Linked DNA regions of Rhinolophus ferrumequinum. The protein of the gene in region 3 purifies or fractionates together with the protein of the main gene of each other region. This does not show direct contact. Links are inferred from orthologs where the notes say so. Each region holds a gene or a part of one and is shown on either strand. Other genes may lie near its edges.

What was found.
Region 1: the proteins of EGFR (region 3) and OS9 purify together in Homo sapiens (affinity purification with mass spectrometry; 3 studies listed by BioGRID and IntAct, with this or other methods). This does not show direct contact. The link is inferred for Rhinolophus ferrumequinum from reciprocal best matches to the Homo sapiens genes EGFR and OS9.
Region 2: the proteins of EGFR (region 3) and XPOT purify together in Homo sapiens (affinity purification with mass spectrometry; 4 studies listed by BioGRID and IntAct, with this or other methods). This does not show direct contact. The link is inferred for Rhinolophus ferrumequinum from reciprocal best matches to the Homo sapiens genes EGFR and XPOT.

The regions. Positions count from the first base shown.
Region 1 is NC_046293.1:56,600,129-56,606,636, forward strand, and holds the start of OS9 (protein OS-9), read left to right. Parts: upstream 1-3,103; 5' UTR 3,104-3,145; coding exon 3,146-3,307; intron 3,308-3,735; coding exon 3,736-3,912; intron 3,913-4,748; coding exon 4,749-4,812; intron 4,813-4,942; coding exon 4,943-5,019; intron 5,020-5,199; coding exon 5,200-5,298; intron 5,299-6,508. UniProt on the Homo sapiens protein: Lectin component of the HRD1 complex, which functions in endoplasmic reticulum (ER) quality control and ER-associated degradation (ERAD).
Region 2 is NC_046293.1:61,441,520-61,448,027, forward strand, and holds the start of XPOT (exportin-T), read left to right. Parts: upstream 1-2,622; 5' UTR 2,623-3,029; intron 3,030-6,120; 5' UTR 6,121-6,210; coding exon 6,211-6,271; intron 6,272-6,508. UniProt on the Homo sapiens protein: Mediates the nuclear export of aminoacylated tRNAs. In the nucleus binds to tRNA and to the GTPase Ran in its active GTP-bound form. Docking of this trimeric complex to the nuclear pore complex (NPC) is mediated through binding to nucleoporins.
Region 3 is NC_046303.1:4,399,707-4,403,306, forward strand, and holds the start of EGFR (epidermal growth factor receptor), read left to right. Parts: upstream 1-807; 5' UTR 808-1,033; coding exon 1,034-1,121; intron 1,122-3,600. UniProt on the Homo sapiens protein: Receptor tyrosine kinase binding ligands of the EGF family and activating several signaling cascades to convert extracellular cues into appropriate cellular responses.

The DNA.
Region 1 (6,508 bases), on a different chromosome or scaffold from region 3:
CCTTCCTTCAGAAAACAACAACAACAACAAGAGAAAACAACACAACAACAAACCTGAATTCTTTAATTTGGCAAATTCCCTTCATGCAAAGGTGACTGCAATGTTTCGAATATACCTCTCTAGTTTTCTGACTTCATTTAGATTTTGGCCGGTTAATTCTTTTTTTGGGGGGGGAGGAAGGGTTACAGGATTTTATTGGGGAACAGTGTGTACTTCCAGGATTTTTTCCAAGTCAAATTGTTGTCCTTTCAATCTTAGTTGTGGAGGGCGCAGCTCAACTCCAGGTCCAGTTGCCGTTGCTAGTTGCAGGGGGCACAGCCCACCATCCCTTGTGGGAGTCCAACCGGCAACCTTGTGGTTGAGAGGACGCGCTCCAACCAACTGAGCCATCCGGGAGCTCAGCGGCAGCTCAGCTCAGGGTGCCGTGTTCAATCTTAGTTGCCCGCGCTCCAACCAACTGAGCCATCTGGCACTGGCACATGTGGGAATCAAACGGGCAGCCCTTGGCGTTAGGAGCACGGAGCTTCAACCGGAGCCACCGGGCCGGCTTGGCCGGTTAATTCTTTACTGTCTTGTTGGCTTTACCATGCTTTTAAGAAGGAAAATACTTACATTTTACTCAGGACTTTCAGTTTTTAGTATGAGGATAACCAACCATATTGAAGAAAACAGAAGACGGTTAGCATTCCTAGCACAAGTTTTTATTTTCTTTAGAATTGCTATCTTTTCCCCTTTCACCTTTCTACATGCTTATCACTTAATATTGCCCCACACTCTCCTCTGCTTATACAAATGTCTTCTCAATAAGTTCAAATGCATTAGGTATTCTATCAATTGTATTTCTTAAATAAATCATTCCCAAATCCTCTGAACTGCTTTAATCTTGATGAATTGATCTTTAGGCCTGCTCTACAATTTGGAATCTCCATTTACTTTTGCTTTGGGGATTCCTTTTGTTTCTTTTCTGTGCTGGATCCCTCATTTCTTGAGGGATCCCTCCATACTGTTCTCTTTTTTGACTTACTGACTTGTCTTGATATAATAAATCCTTTCCAGTCTTTCTGAAAAACAATGCCTAGAGTATCAATATTTTGAGGGTTCACATATCTGAAATTATCTTTATTTTGGACTTACGATTAAATCCATTTGGCTGAATGTAGTATTCTACGTTGGAAATAATTTCCTTCTAAATTTTGAAGGCATTTCTTCATTGTCTTCTCCCTTACGGTGTTGATGAATTGATAAGCCTAACGCTGTTCTGATTTTTGATCTTTGTATGCAACTTGTTCTTTCTCTCTGGAAACTTTGGAATTGTTTCTCTGTGCCTGATGTTTTGATAGTGTATAATGATGTATCTTGGTGTGGGCCTGATTTGTTTTGCTGGATACTTAGTGTGCCCTTTCAATTTAGAGGCTCAGTTCTTCATTTCAGGAGAATACTTTAAAATAATTTCTTTGATTATTTCTTCCCTCTGATTCTCTGTTCTCTTTCCAGGCCTGGAGAGATCCTCTTATTTTTATTAATTTTCTCCTAAAGTAGAGTAATTTGATCTTCAACTTTATCCTCCAGTCTTTCCATTGAATTTTTATTTCTGCTATCATGGTTTTGATTTCCAAGAGTTCTTTTTCCTTATCTGAATTGTAGTTACTTTTTTTTTTTTTAAAGATTTTTATTGGGGAAGGGGAACAGGACTTTATTGGGGAACAGTGTGTACTTCCAGGCCTTTTTTTTCCAAGTCAAGTTGTTGTCCTTTCAGTCTTAGTTGTGGAGGGCACAGCTCAGCTCCAGGTCCAGTTGCCGTTTCCTAGTTGCAGGGGGCACAGCCCACCATCCCTTGCGGGAGTCCAGGAATTGAACTGGCAACCTTGTGGTTGAGAGCCCACAGGCCCCATGTGGAAATCGAACCGGCAGCCTTCGGAGTTAGGAGCATGGAGCTCTAACCGCCTGAACCACCCGGGCTGGCCTGTAGTTACTTTTAAAATAGCTTCCTGTTGTTATGTGGTGGATACAATATATTATCTCTCTGAGGACATTAATGATGGATTTATTTAAGTCTTTTTCTCCCTTGCAATTTTTGTTTCTTCTAAATTTATTTTTTTCTTCTTGCTTGTTTTGCTTTCTTTCTTGTCTTTTTAAAAGACTTTCCCTAACTGTCTAATTATCTTTGGCTGTCTACTTATATTTAAGAGTGAGGACATTATAAAGCTTATTGGAAAAATCGTGTGAGAGCTGGACATGTAGACCAAGGCTTCATTGTAGGATTCCTTCATCTATTTCATTAAGAGGACCCTAATGAGAGTCTCTTTGAGACTTCTCTTTTGGGTTGGTCAGATTCCCCGGAGAAGTTTTCTAGGTACAATCATGCTCATGTTTACCTTTGTTTAGGAATCAATTTCTCAGGTTTGCTAAACCAGTTACCATTCTTACATTTGCTTTCTAACTTCTGAAATGTTGCTGCTGTTGTCTCCTTCTCTTTCTCGTTGGTCTTACAAGGTCTGGAGGATAATTTGTGTATTTGCCTTTCCCTCTCCCCAGTCTTTAACTGGAAGCCCCCATTATTTATTTATGATAATTTTATTGGAGGAAAACATATTGTACAGACAGAATCGTATAGAAAGGTTTTGACACAAATTACCAGATTGCCCTAAAGTTGTATGCATATATGAAAAGAGGAGCGCTTTTATATAATTATTTTGCAACAAGTATTAAGTATCTTTCAGGGGTTTTGCGTGCATCCACCCATTGGCCTCAAGCCTCCACCCGATGGGGACAAACTACAGTGCAAGAAACGACTGAAAAAAAGTAATAAGAAATGATGCGGGTGACAGCTGTGCGAAGACAGAAAACTGCTTAAAAGGGCCCAGCATAGACCACGCCTTTCTGGAAGTGGGAGTGAGTGGGAGGAGGTCTTATCTCGTCGATGGTTGGTTAGCCTCTCGAACCAATTACGAGCAGCGAGTGATTTTGCCAATGGTCGTGATCCACCTCCCCGTGGGCTTTGAAGTCACGTTTACAAATGGGAATAAGGTAGGTGAGAGGGACAGAACATCTAGCCAATGAAATTTTGGGGCGTTAATGGGCGTGGTGAGGCTGCTGCCAGGTTTAGGGCGGAAGGAGTCGTTCTGGATAAGGAGGGGAACGAAAGATGGCGGCAGAAACGCTGCTGTCCAGGCTGTTGGGGCTTCTGCTTTTGGGGCTCCTGTTACCTGCAAGTCTGACCGGCTGTGTCGGGAGCCTGAACCTGGAAGAACTGAGTGAGATGCGTTATGGGATCGAGATCCTGCCGCTGCCTGTCATGGGAGGGCAGGTAAGGAGGCGTAGAGCGGGCAAGGGTCCGGGGCAAGGGGAAGGGGGAAAAGTACAGGAAGAAGGGCAGCTAAGGAGAAAGCCGAAGGAGCGGCGGGAGAATCAGGAAGAGTAGGTAGGAGTTTTACGATGTCTCCTGAGTATCGCAGACTGAGACCCATTCCCTTGGGGCCAGGGACTGGGAGGGGTGGGGCTTCCCGCTGTCAGCTTCAGGTCCTAGTTCCTGATCGAAACCACCCCCCCGACTCCGCCCCTATGGAGCAGTGGGTGTGCCCTCTCCCGTCACCTGCTAAACAAAGCTTTAGGAGGACTTGTGGCTCATTCTGTCTTGACTGGGCTTTCCCCCGGGGTCTGAAGAGGATCTTGTTGTTCTGCCTGATCCTAGGCTCTCTTTGCCTCCCTGTCCACCTATTCTCCCTTCTTTCCCAGAGCCAAGCTTCAGACGTGGTGATTGTCTCCTCTAAGTACAAACAGCGCTATGAATGTCGCCTGCCAGCTGGAGCTATTCACTTCCAGCGTGAAAGGGAGGAGGAGACACCTGCTTACCAAGGGCCTGGGATCCCTGAGTTGTTGAGCCCAATGAAAGATGCTCCCTGCCTGCTGAAGGTGAAAAGGACTGGGATGTATGGAATGAGGGCTTGGGTACTAACTCTATCTGAGAACCAGAGTGCCAGAGAGTAAGGCTGGATAGGGAGGACTTGTCAAAGTTAAGAAGGCCATTGGAGGAGTATACATTGTACAGACAGGAAAGAAACGAAGAATTTTGCAACCACTGGTGACACTTCGCTGAATGTAGAGTAGGGTTAGGATAGAAGATCTCAAAATAAGGGTTAAGCCAAGGGTTGACCCTAAAGAGGGTCAGTGTGGGGTAGGAGGGGCACTCCTCTAGAGAAGCTTTCCTGGTAAAATCACCCCCTGCCCCTATCACTGTCTGCCCCAGTATCCTATTTCATTTTCATCATGGCACTTTTCATGATCTGAAATTATCTTACTAACTGAATCATCAGTGTATTTATTTTTGGTCTAGTCCCAGCACTAAAGGCCATGAGGTCAGAGAATTTTTCTTGTTCATAGCTGTATCCCCAGTGACAGAACAGCACGGGAATGTTGTAGAAGTTAAATTAATATTGTAATATTTTATGTTTCCCTGGTCTTAGTGCTTCAAGGATATCATGATTTCTTATCTTTATGGAGAGCAAAAAGGATTAAAAAATCATTAAAAAGGTAGGCTTAAAAAGCCCACAGGTGGAAAACAGACTTTATAAGTATCTCTCTGAGTCACAGCCCTCCCTCCTTATTGAGAATCTGGCGAATTGAGTGTGGAAGCAGAGGGAGATGAGAAGTAGGTGATAGGTTATGTGTCTTGGAGCCAGGAGAGATTCTGGTTCCAAGAAGAGACATCTGCACTCCATCCCCCTGACTGTTTATTTTTTTATTGTCAGACCAAGGACTGGTGGACATATGAATTCTGTTATGGACGACACATCCAGCAGTATCACATGGAAGGTGACTCACACCTCCATTTTCCCTAAGCCCTTAGCAACCTGTCATGGAAGGTGACCTGCCTTCTCAGTCCTCTTCCCTCCTAGTCCTCTTAGAAGGGAGTAACCATAATTTGCTGTGGTTTCTCTTGCAGATTCAGAGATCAAAGGTGAAGTTCTGTATCTCGGCTACTACCAATCGGCCTTCGACTGGGATGATGAAACAGCCAAGGTGGCAGGAGTGTGGGATTGGGAGAAAAAGGGGTCCTGGCTGCAGATTAAGAGCCCTGAAAAGAAGGGGAGGGTTAGAATTAGCTGTTTCCTGGGGTTTGGTGGCCGTTAGGACAAGGTACTATTCTTGCCTTCTTGCTGTCTTTCTTATCCCACCGCTCCTGCCTGATGTCCTCTCCAGGCTTCCAAGCAGCATCGCCTGAAACGCTACCACAGCCAGACCTATGTCAATGGATCCAAGTGTGACCTCAATGGGAGACCCCGGGAGGCCGAGGTTCGGGTGAGTTTTGAAAGAGGGAAGTTGATACTCCCTCAGTGACATTGCAGATTCTAATAGAAGAGGACAAGGTTGCATTGTACAGTCATGAGGGTCTCTCTCAGACCCTAAACCCAAGTTTAAGACTCTTATTTCTAGTTGCCAGCTGGATATCACTGCTTGGATATTCAGAAACACTTCTAGTCAACATTTCCCAAGTCTTCCCCTCCGAACATCCAACCACACTTATTCTTTTTTTCAATGTTTCTCCTTTCTGTCACCTAATCTAGAAACCTGAAGGTCATTGTTGATCCTTCCTTCTCCTTCACTGTGTTCTCCTTTCTTCAGTAGGTTTTGGGCTCTGCTCTGGGAATAAAGTGGTAGGCAAACACACAGCCCCTGCACTCGTGGAGTGCATAGTCTAGAAAGGAAGACAGATGTTAACAAAAGAACCACAGAAATGAGTCTGTGATTACAAACTGAGGAGTGCTATAAAGGAAAGGGATCTAGTTCTCTCGTAAATGCCAAAGCATGTCCAGTCTATTCTAGATTTCTCTCACAACTTTCTTCTTTCCTATGCTTGGTACCTTCATCTCTCACCTGCATCACTGCCAACAGCCTCTTAACAAGTGTTTCTGGTGCAGTGGTCCTCAATGAGTTCAGGCAGGCAGGCAGATGTATGGTGAGAAAAGTTCCTTAGGTGATTCTAATGTGTGTTCACAAATGTACACACCTGTAGAGAACCACATAACAAGAATTACCTTTCTGTAATACAGATTTGCACATACAATTGTGTGCTGGTAAATGTTGCACATCCACAGCATTAGGGTAGGGTAAGGGGCGTGGAGAGGGGCGTCCTGATTTATAATATTTGCCAATATCCATGTTATAAATATTCCCACCATGGTCAAATTAATGCTATTACCATGATGTCAACTGTCTTGCAACGTTGCTGAAAATTTGCTAGTTGGGTCTTGTGAACTGGTGTGAGCTGGCTCCAACATGATACTATAAGCATGTGTCGCTTCTCCGCCCAGTCCTCGAAAAGTTTTGATGATTCTGCCGTGTTCAGAGGATAAGATCCAAATATTTCAACCGAGACCAGAGTGGTAGCAGTAGAGGTGGTAGGAAGCAGTTGGGATTCTGGATATATTTTGAAGGTAGAGCCAATTAGATTTTATGATGGATTGGCTGTGGGGTAGAGTCAAGTATGACTGCCTGCAGGGTTTTAGCA
Region 2 (6,508 bases), on a different chromosome or scaffold from region 3:
TTTTTACAAAGAGTAACTTCTGCTTGGTTTTCAGGGCTTCTCCAGTGTGCTGTTTCTTAAAAATAAGCAGCTTAAAATAATCCTTATGCCAAAGAGACATGCTTTGGGGTGACAAAGTCTGCTCCTCTACACAGCTTTGGGGAAGACATGTTAAGAGAGCAAAAATGGGAGTGTGGTAAAGAAAATGAAGAGGCAAAAGGAGCGTGAGGATAAGATAGGATCGGAAGTCAAGAGAGGAGAGAATTTCTAGGAGGAATGTGGACCCCAAGAAGAAAGATTTATTTGAGAAGAAAGATTTATTTGACGTGAACGCCGAGGAGGAATTTATCTGCTGAGATGGACTCCCCATGGTTAACTGAGTGCTCCAATTTTATAAATAATAACAGGCTAGTGGCCATTTGTTGACCAGAAAGAGCGCCAGACTGAACTCTAGACTTCCTAGACTGAGTCAACAACTACAAAGGAGTTCCTGTTTTCGTCTTTCAACCAAATGGACTAAGACCTGTCCCCTCTAATCAGAACCGCTCCATAACAACCAATCAGGAAACATATTGTTGATCAATCAGGACTGCTAAATTCGGACCAATCAGAAATGTACAAATTTGGGTACTTCATTTACATAAAACAGACCTAATTGGGAACCTGGGTGGGAATTTTCAAAGGCAGCCTCCCCTTTGTCCTGGTGGAACACAATGTAGGTTGCTCCTTGAATCTGTGTCTTCAGGTCTGCAGCTCCTTTTATTCAAATAAATGCTTTTTATTCTTTATTAGTCTAAAATTTAATTTTGGTTTACATGTAGAATCATGAGTCTAGGGCTCCAGCCTACCAATTTACTAGTTATGTGACTTAGGATAAGTTACTTAAAACAGATCCTCCTTGGTTTCCTTATATGTAAATTAAAAATGGTGATGATGATAATACCTGCTCTATCCCTACAAGGTTAAGAGGACCAAACAAAGTAGAAAAGATATATGAAGGCATACTGTAAACCATAATGAAGCATATAATTCTTTATAGAGTTGTTGTGAAGATTAATGTCTGAACACTTAGAACACATAATAAATGATGAAAAATGTTGACAATGCACAATTGGCATTTTATATTAGTCTTAGATGAGAAACTGCCCATCCCCTCATGGACTGGTGAACAGAATACGGAATGGTCAAATTTAATATCCCTTTCAGGTCCTCTTCAGTTGGATTCCATGTACTTCTTTATTCCATAATAATGTGAGTTTACAAAACTGAAAGAGATTTTTAAAATCCTAGGTATTTGAGCTACCATAAAGGGTCAGTGTTACTAAGTCAATGGTAGATAAGCTGTGGATACTAAATAGGCTGTAAATAAGCTTCATATGATACTTAACATATGAAGAATCCACAAAATGAACTTATAAATGAAAAGGGCAAATAAAGACAGTAACTGTAAGAGACCGTATTTTGATGTTCTTTAAGATGAGGCATTGCGATATACTGAACATGTTAAAGCCTTTGGAGCCACTCAGACTAGGATTAGTATTGACCTCCATAGTGCACAGTTGACCTACACTGCTAATGTAATAAGCATCCACGCAATTATTCACTTACTGATTTGTAACTAGTCTGGCACTGTACTAGACTCAGGGAATACAATGTAATGGATAGGGACAGCAATCCTAGTCTGACATTCTGAAGGAGGAAATTGCAAACTGTGATGCAAAAGTGATTCAAAATAACTTTGTATATGAAATAGCTGGTGCAGTGTCTTGTACCTGGTGGGTTGCTAAATAAATGTAGCTGTTACATTGTTACATTAAGTTTATTCTACTTCTCTTCCCATTCCTCCCTCCAACTTTTGTTTGTTCTTCACTGTAGTCCCAGTGACTGCAACCTAGTCTGTATTCAGCACTTATTGAATAATCAACAGTGAAACCTAAGTATCAATTACTTATTGTGTGCCAAACACCCGTATTAACTCAATCCTCACAATAACACTTAGAGGTCAGTATTTTAATCATCCCAATTTTACAGATGAGTAAATAGAAACAGATTATGTACCATGCCTGAAACTGAGGTCAACAACTAGTGAACGGGGTGCTGGGATTCGAATATAGGCAGCGTGAGCCTATACTGCCTCGAGGCTTTATTAATAAATTAATAAATCAGTGAATGAGTAAACAAAGTTAACAGTAGCATAGAACCTACGACTAAGATTGCCTAAGAATGCTCTTCTTTTCACAAAGGACGAAATATTAGTACGTTTAAAGTGAAATTCAAAAATTTCACTTTAAAACGCTGAAGCGCTCATCGGAGTATAGAGTAAGTATAAAGTAATTAGTCGCTAGTATGAGTAGTAACATGTGGGACCACGGAACAGCAATTAAACAACCGACTCATACGTGGTTTGGACCACGTCATCCGGATCTCGGGACTCTAATCTATCAACTAACTGACGAAGCCCACCCGCGAGGCTCGGACCCCGCGCAGAAGGGACTGGGTTCAACACCCCCAGCAGGATTCAGGCCGGATCCCAGCATGCACCACAGGCCCGAGCGACCACACCTCCCGGCGAGCGCCTGGGAGCGCGTGTGCGCCCCGCCGCCCGGAAGCACCGCCTGCACGTTGCATGCTGGAGTTGTAGGCTCCCGGCCCCAGCCTGCCGGCTGCCGTCTGCTCTCTCCATGAGGCTGCTGGCGCTGGCCCGCGCGGCACCGACGCTGGGAGCGCGCTTCGCGCTGACTCAGCGGCGACGGCGGTGGCGGCGTTGGCCGGGCCCTCGCGCTCCTTCCTTTCCTGGGGCGCTGACCCCGCCTGCTTGCCTATGCTAGCTTGCCGGCCCGGCGCCACGCGAGAGAAGGTGCTAGGGGACGCGGAGCGGCGAGAGGCGCTTGGTCCCGGCCAGCTCCGTCTCCAGCGTTAGCGCTGCGCCGTGGCGGAGACCGACGGCAACAAGGACGAGGGCCGCTCTCCCCGCTCCCAGCGTGCGGCGCCGCTCGGCTGACCGGCACTCGGGAGTGCAGGCGGGGAGGCGGGATGGAGTGATAGGGAAGGTGACTCGGGGTTTGGGGGGCAGCGGGACTCGGACCCGGCTCGCTTCGCGAGAGGCTGCGTGGAAGTTGGCTGGGAGGACTGGCCGCGGGAGCCCCCACGCTGGGGAGGGGTGCGGGCCGGGGGCCCTCCATGGCGGTGTGCCGGGAGGTTGGGCGGACTGGGTGGGGGTGGGTACTAGCCGTGGCCGCCGCGGAGCGCGTCCCGAGTGCGTGGCCGCCGGTTGCCGGGTGTTTCATCACCCAAATTGCCACGAGGCTTCCTTTAGGGGAGGGATCCGGAGGGAGCAAGGCGACGAGGCCAGCGGAGGAGGGTCGGCATCGCTTGTGGCCCCCTATTTAGTAAAAGTGGCCAAGCCCATTTGTAGTAGCTGCGTGTTTCAGCAGTTGCAACTGCAGAGGGCTTTAACTTGATTCGCCCCCCGCCCCAGGACAAAAAAGAGAAAAGTGTGTGTGTGTAGTAATTTGCCAGCAGAGACACGCCATTTCTTCTCGTCCCTTCCTCACAATTCTGCAGGAGTGGTATTTCCTGTAACGAGAAAAGAAATACTTTTTGAAAGTACTAATTAGTTTTTATTGGGGGAAGTTACGTTTTATTAAAGCGACTTGTCAGCGTGGTGTTAAAAAGGCTGGAAAGATTCAGTCCTGATCTTTGAACAGTCTTGTGAGCGTGGAAGAATTTTTCCAAATTGTTTAATTCTTGATTTAATGGCTAGCTAGGAAAAGTTAGGGGTTAGAATTTTAAGTATGTTGCTCGCCTTCCTCCCAGAACATTTGCTAAATGCGTAATTGAAGTGTTTATCGCATTGTAACAAATATTTAAACCTGCAGGACTGTGCCGTGTTAGAACATTATGTGTTTACAACAGCACAGCCTTTTACAAGGGGAAAACTGTCACCTTTTCGCAGAAGTTGTAACTTCTCAGGTGTTTGCACACACGTGGGTAATTATCTGTTCCATTGCATAGTGATTATTATCCAAGTGCTTCCTCTTTGAAGGATTCTTTCTTGTACTGACAACTGTAACAAGTTTGTTTGCCTCAGGTAGTTTTTATTTGCCACGTTTTATCTTAGGACCACCCTGTGTTCCCTTGATAGAATCAAAGTGACTTGACCAGCTTAAACAGTTTTCCCTAAAGCCATGCCAAATTCAAGGAATCTTTTATCGGACTTCTCAAGCTTGGACTTTCTAGAAACTGAATTTGTCTTTTCTTTCTGTGTGTGCATTTTTCAGGAGACTCATCATCACATTTTCTTGTAATTTTTGGCTGAGGGGGCGGATAGAGGTGGAGAGGAACCACTGCCTTTGAGTTTTCACATCTGTTTTAAAATGCCAATTTACTAATATGACATTTAATCTAGAATACTTGTAGTTCCCATCTACTGTGTCTAGTTCTGAATTGTAAATAACGTATTAAGGACCCACTGTGCCAGGCATACCTTCATGTCATTGAAGTCTTTACAACTTTATAAGGCAGAAGCTCTTTTTCCCATTTTATGGAAAGGGCTCTCGGATTTCATAGTTGTTCGTTCACGTGGGCCCCACTTTGAAAATGACGGGATTGGAGTACAAATCCATGTCTTCCTAAATCCAAACCTCTGTTCCGTTGTATCCTAGATGCATAGTTATGAGTATTCAAGACAATCAGTCGTTGCCCTTTAAGGTTAGCCAGAGAAAACTTGGTAAGCAGGTGGTGACTATCAGCTCTTAGGAGGGACATCTAATCCAATTTGAGAGAGTTGGATGATAGGGGTCAAAGAAGCCTGGGAGAGGTGACCTCTCAGCTGAATTCTGAAGGACTGGCAGGGGTTAACCAAGAACAAGAAAGAAGCAGTATGGGGGCAGATGAAAGGCAGAATACCACTGCTTGGATCTTAATCTTCAGGCCAGTGGGGAACTACACTACCTTGCTGGAGTCCTGCAAGTGCAATAGTACCCATGAAAAGGGCCGAGCCGGCTTCTCCCCAGCCTCAGCACATACCCTGAGTTGCTGTTCCATCAGGCAGGCCCAGGGGAGGACTAAAGCACACTGTAGTGGGGTTCCTTAACCTGCATCCTGATCCTGGCCGCACAGTTCCAAAAAGGCTGTTACCCCTACCTCCCAACCCCTTGCCCATTGGCCTGTTTAGGCGTTTGTGTTCTCTGTGTTATAATTCAAAACAACGCCACACAGCCTTTTAATGGGACTAGTAAGGCCTGTTCTCCCTACCTCACAGGTCTTGAGAGAATAAATGTAATTTTTGCATTTATTTGAGTTTGTTCCTTGTTTCTTCCAGTAAATACACATTCTCTCAAAAACCATGTTGTTCTCTTGGGACCTCCGTACCGTGTTCTTATTTGACACTGGATTGTGAAAAAAATGCATTACTTTCCAGAGACTGAAAAAAAAAATGTTCTTAAGAATAGTGTTAGGTATTTATAAAATTTTATAACGACTAAAAAAAACACTGAAATGAATTTCTAGAATTGGCTGGCAAGAGCAGCAACCTGTAAAAGATAGAGCTAGCCCATTGTTCAAAAGCTAAATGGACTGGGTTTTGACTCATACTCTTTTTCATTTGACCTCTTGAAGTACTTGTAGGCACTCCAATAAGAATATTGAACTCTGAGGTCGCTGTTTAGTCAGCTATTCCATTTTTTCCCCTTAAAGTTTGTGATATTGATAAATGGAAGTAGGCAAATGTTTATAATTATCTTAATCTGGATTTGTCATTTTTTTCATGTAGTTGGACAATTGCACTTTTTAAATACTCACTGGAGATATATATTAAAAACTTGCATAAAGTAGATGCTCCACTGTTTGAAGTAGGAAATAATTATTTTCTGTGCTTTATTGATGGTCTTGAATAAGAAAATTTGAGAACCTTAATGACATTACTTTACGTCTTTAGAAATTACACATTCATGGAGTACTTAGCAGGCCCATTTTTCTGAGTCTTAGATTCCTTTAGTTGTAATTTGAATTGTTTTCAAAAGAAGTTCTTTGAACACTTAAACTTCTTTGCATAATATTTTCCACTTGTTAGGGTATTCTGGCTAAGCATCTATTTTGTTTATCAAGCGTTGTGTTTCTTTCCATTGTGTGCACGTGCAGATGTTTGCAGATCCTTCTGTGGGGTCAGTGGGCACGTCTGTTGCCATCGGAAAGCTGCTCGCATAGCCACATAGCCGCATAGCTGCTGGGATGGATGAGCAGGCTCTGTTAGGGCTCAGTCCAAATGCCGATTCAGACTTCAGACAAAGGGGTAAGTTAAGCTGCCTTAGTGATTTTTTCAAAGCATGTTACCATAGATTTGCATTAGAAGACTTGAGTAAAAACACATTCTGATAACAAAGATTTAATTTGGGTACAATGAACAGAGGTAACCCAATTGAGCTCTTTGGATATATTCTGAATACAGAAGACAGTGAGGGTTGTGATTTACTTTCTGTTTAGTGGTCTCAACAAAAGTTAAAATCTCATGTGATTCAAGGTAGGTCTT
Region 3 (3,600 bases):
TATCAAGCCTTTATCCAAGCGCCGGGCTTTTGCAAAGTAATTTACCGTGAATATTTGCTTGTCAAGTACCCCTGGCTGGCTCCGGGCCTAGGAAAGCTGTGGGCTCCCTCGGTACTCGTGCATTCATTCAACTAACATTTCCCAACGTCCGGCTCTGTGCCAGGAGTTGGGTGCCCTCATTTCAGACGATTCTGAGGATGCTTGACGGGCTGTGAAGGACCCTCCGACTTGAGAGCCCCGACTCAGCCGCTGGCCCGCGGGCGCAGCGAGGAACCAACCACCTGGCTGCCAAGCCAGCCTCGGCCTCCAGTAGGGTCCCCGGGTGCTTCGGGGGAGTTGGGCGAGAATAAAGGGGTGGTTTCCTCACCCGTGCCATTATCCAGCCTTGGGCATAAGTCTCAGCCAGGTCACCGGAGCTGGTACAAGTTTGCTCTGCAAGTTGAAGGGGTGGGGGCAATGTCTGGACGCAGGCTGGGTCACCGAGATAGCAGCGCCAGTCCGCGAGGGCTGGGTCCTGACGCACAGCGCTGGGAACTCGCCTCTCGGAACACGAATTCCCAGGAGCGGCCGCCGGCTCCCGCACGCCGCCCCCTCCCCGCTCCGCGCCGTCGCCCGAGCGCTGGGGCCCGCGGGGGCCACCGTGGTCTGCCCCTTCCGCGCGGCTGCCTGCCTGCGGTCCCCGCTGCTGGTTATTCCTCCCTCCTCCTGGCGTTCGGCTCCTCGCGATCCCTCCCCCTGCTCTTGGTCCCTCCTCCTTCCAGCCCAGGCGCCCCGCGCCCCCGCCCCGCGAGCTAGACGTCTGGGCAGCTCCGAGCGCTGCGCCGCGGCAGCAGCCTCCGCCCCCCGCACGGTGTGCACGCCCGCGGCCCCGGCTGCCCGAGTCCCCAGCGAGTCCCCAGCGAGCCTGCCCCGGCGGCCGCCGCCTCCCAGCCCGGACGACAGGCCACCTCCGGAGTCGCCGCCACCACGCACAGCCGCCCGGCTCCGTCTCGGACTAATTGCGGAGAGCGGGAGCGAGCGCCTGGGGGCAGCGATGCGACCCTCGGGGACTGTGGGAGCCGTGCTCCTGCTGCTGCTGGCTGCGCACTTCCCAGGGAGCCCGGCGCTGGAGGAAAAGAGAGGTACGGGCGTGTCCGCGGCCCCGCGCCACCCGGCCCGCAGCCGGCCCTCCTTTCCTGCTTCCTTGAGGAGCGGCTGCGCTGCTGGCCGGGACCGTGGGAGGAACGGGACGTTTCGTTTCTGAACTGGGCGAGTCTGCGGCGGCCCGAGGCGGGGAAGCTGCGGGCGCGGGCTGCGGGCGGGTGTGGGGCGCTCCCCGAGCGCTCGCAACTTTTCCGCGTCACTTTCCTGCCCTCCTGCGCGGGCTTGGCGTCCTAGAGCGAAAGTTGGTGCGGAGCCGGGGGCCGCTCGGGTCCCCGCGGTGCCGGCCGGCGTCCGGGCACGTGCGCCCGCGCTGTCCACTCAAGGGGCCAGGCTCGCGGGGCGCGCCCCCCAAGGGCTTCCGGACGCCCAGGATGCGGGAATCCCTCGGGGGACCTCCCGGGGCTCCCTACACCCGCGTCTTCCACTGAAGCCGGCTCGCTCCTTTCCCGGGCGTGGAGCTGCAGCCTCGAAGTGGGAGGCCCGGAGAGCTCGCCTCTGTCGCTAACTACCTGTGGCTCCCGGCAAGGGACTTAGTGTCCTCTTCGGCTCCTGGGGCGCGCCCCCACCCCCGCACCCCCGAGCTCCCTCCGGATCGTCCGCGGCCCTTGTCCCTCCCGGGAACTCCCGAGGTTTGCCCCCCACCTGCAGCACTTTGGTCACGTCTGTGGGCTTCGGGGTGGAGCGGGGCAGAGCGGTGCGACCGGCTGCAACCGGACAGCTGGGTCCTGGTGCTCACCTGCCTAAGGATCAGGACCCCACAATTTTTCAAAGTAGGGCTCCTATTTTGAAAATCCCGAGATTTTCTCTTTGGGACATTTCTTTTAGCTTTTTTAAAAATTTGACATGGGGCCAATCAAAATATTAAACTTAATTTTAAAAAAAAATGAAAACCGGATTTGGTGCCAAGTGTCCAGAGCGAACATGAGCGAGTCTGGCTTCGTGACTACCGACCATAAACCCACTTGACACAAGAAACATGTCTCAGAAGGTTTAACTGCACAATTTCAAAATCCTGCAGCCGGGTTCCAAGAGTCAGGTCTGTACTTGCAGTTGATGTCATTGGCGCAGGGAGTGGGGTTTGGTCCTGAGGGCGTTCGCTGGGGGAGCGTCAGGGCCGAAAACCGCGCTTCCCAAACTTGGGTGCAAATTAGAATCGCTTGGGATTTAAAACCAAACCGAACCCAAAATAAACAACGATGTCTGGCTCCCACCCCCCAGACATTCGGATTTCCTCGGTCAGGAGTGAGACCTGGCCTTCCGGGTTTGTACAGGCTCCTCAGGTGATTTTGTTGGGCCGCGGGATGTGAGGGATGACAGGCAATGAGTAGGGCGATTCGCAAAGACTCCAACGTCAGATGCTCTTTCTGGACATCGGGAGTTTTACCAGCAGTTGCAAAATACTGTGAGAGGAGACGGAGGTGATTTCAATAATAGTGGATTAGTTTTTTCACCGAAAGCTTTTCCTCCGGAGTCTGACGCCCCCTCTTCCCTGCTGTGAAACGGTCCCTTTGGTCCTGCTCCTGAAATCAGCTGACCAGGGCCGCCTCTCAGGCAGGTCGCTCTTTATTTTCTCTGCAGGGGTCGCCTGTCCTTTACATTAAAGTCTTGGAGCACCTCAAGCATCACTTTTCTCCAGAAATGTCCCCAGTGCGTCGCTGTTACCCCTTTGAACCCCAGGATTAGTGTGTGGAGATCTGTTTCTGAGAAAAATCGAAATACCGCTTAACTTGCCTGTTGGTCCTGTACTTGCTTAAAGCGGAATGCTCCTGAAAAAGAAAATGGTGAGAGTAGGCGAACAAATGTCATTCAGTGAAAGTAACATTAAAGACCAAAATTTAAGGGGTAAGTTATCAAAAATGAGATATGTTTTACCAAAAGTGTTAAAGACCCGTATCAGTCAAATTCAGTTAGTTTTATTCAAGAAAATGTGCTCATTTTAGAGAGATTTGTTTGGCTCTGAGGTATGGTATCGTCTCTTCCTCTTGTACTTAGTACAGTCAGACACGAGTTTGACTGTCCTATCAATCCTTGTGACTCTTCCATCATGCATATGAGGGGAAACTGAGGTACAGAGAAGTAAAGTGACTTTGGCATAGCTTGTGAGAGGCAGGACCAGGATTTAAACGTAGGCCATTTTGCCCAGAACCCTCTGCGGCCAGCCATCTCCACTGCTGTGTGTGAGTTCTGGTTTCAGGAGCGCCCGTTCAGGTGTGTGTGAGCATCTAATGTCAGCTGCTGGGAGGGGGAGGGAATGGACCAGGGGCTGGGCTTCTTAGGATGGTCCCTTCTGTGAACTTGGAACAAGCCGCCGCCTGGTCAGCAGTCTAGACCCCTGCCCACAGTTACTCAGTAGTTGCTCCGGCTGCCTTTCCTGGTGGCAACTCAGTCACCAAACCAGCAATGAACGTGGAGATCGCTCAAGGAATGTTGAACAAGCCCCTTGTTCTTGCAAAATGG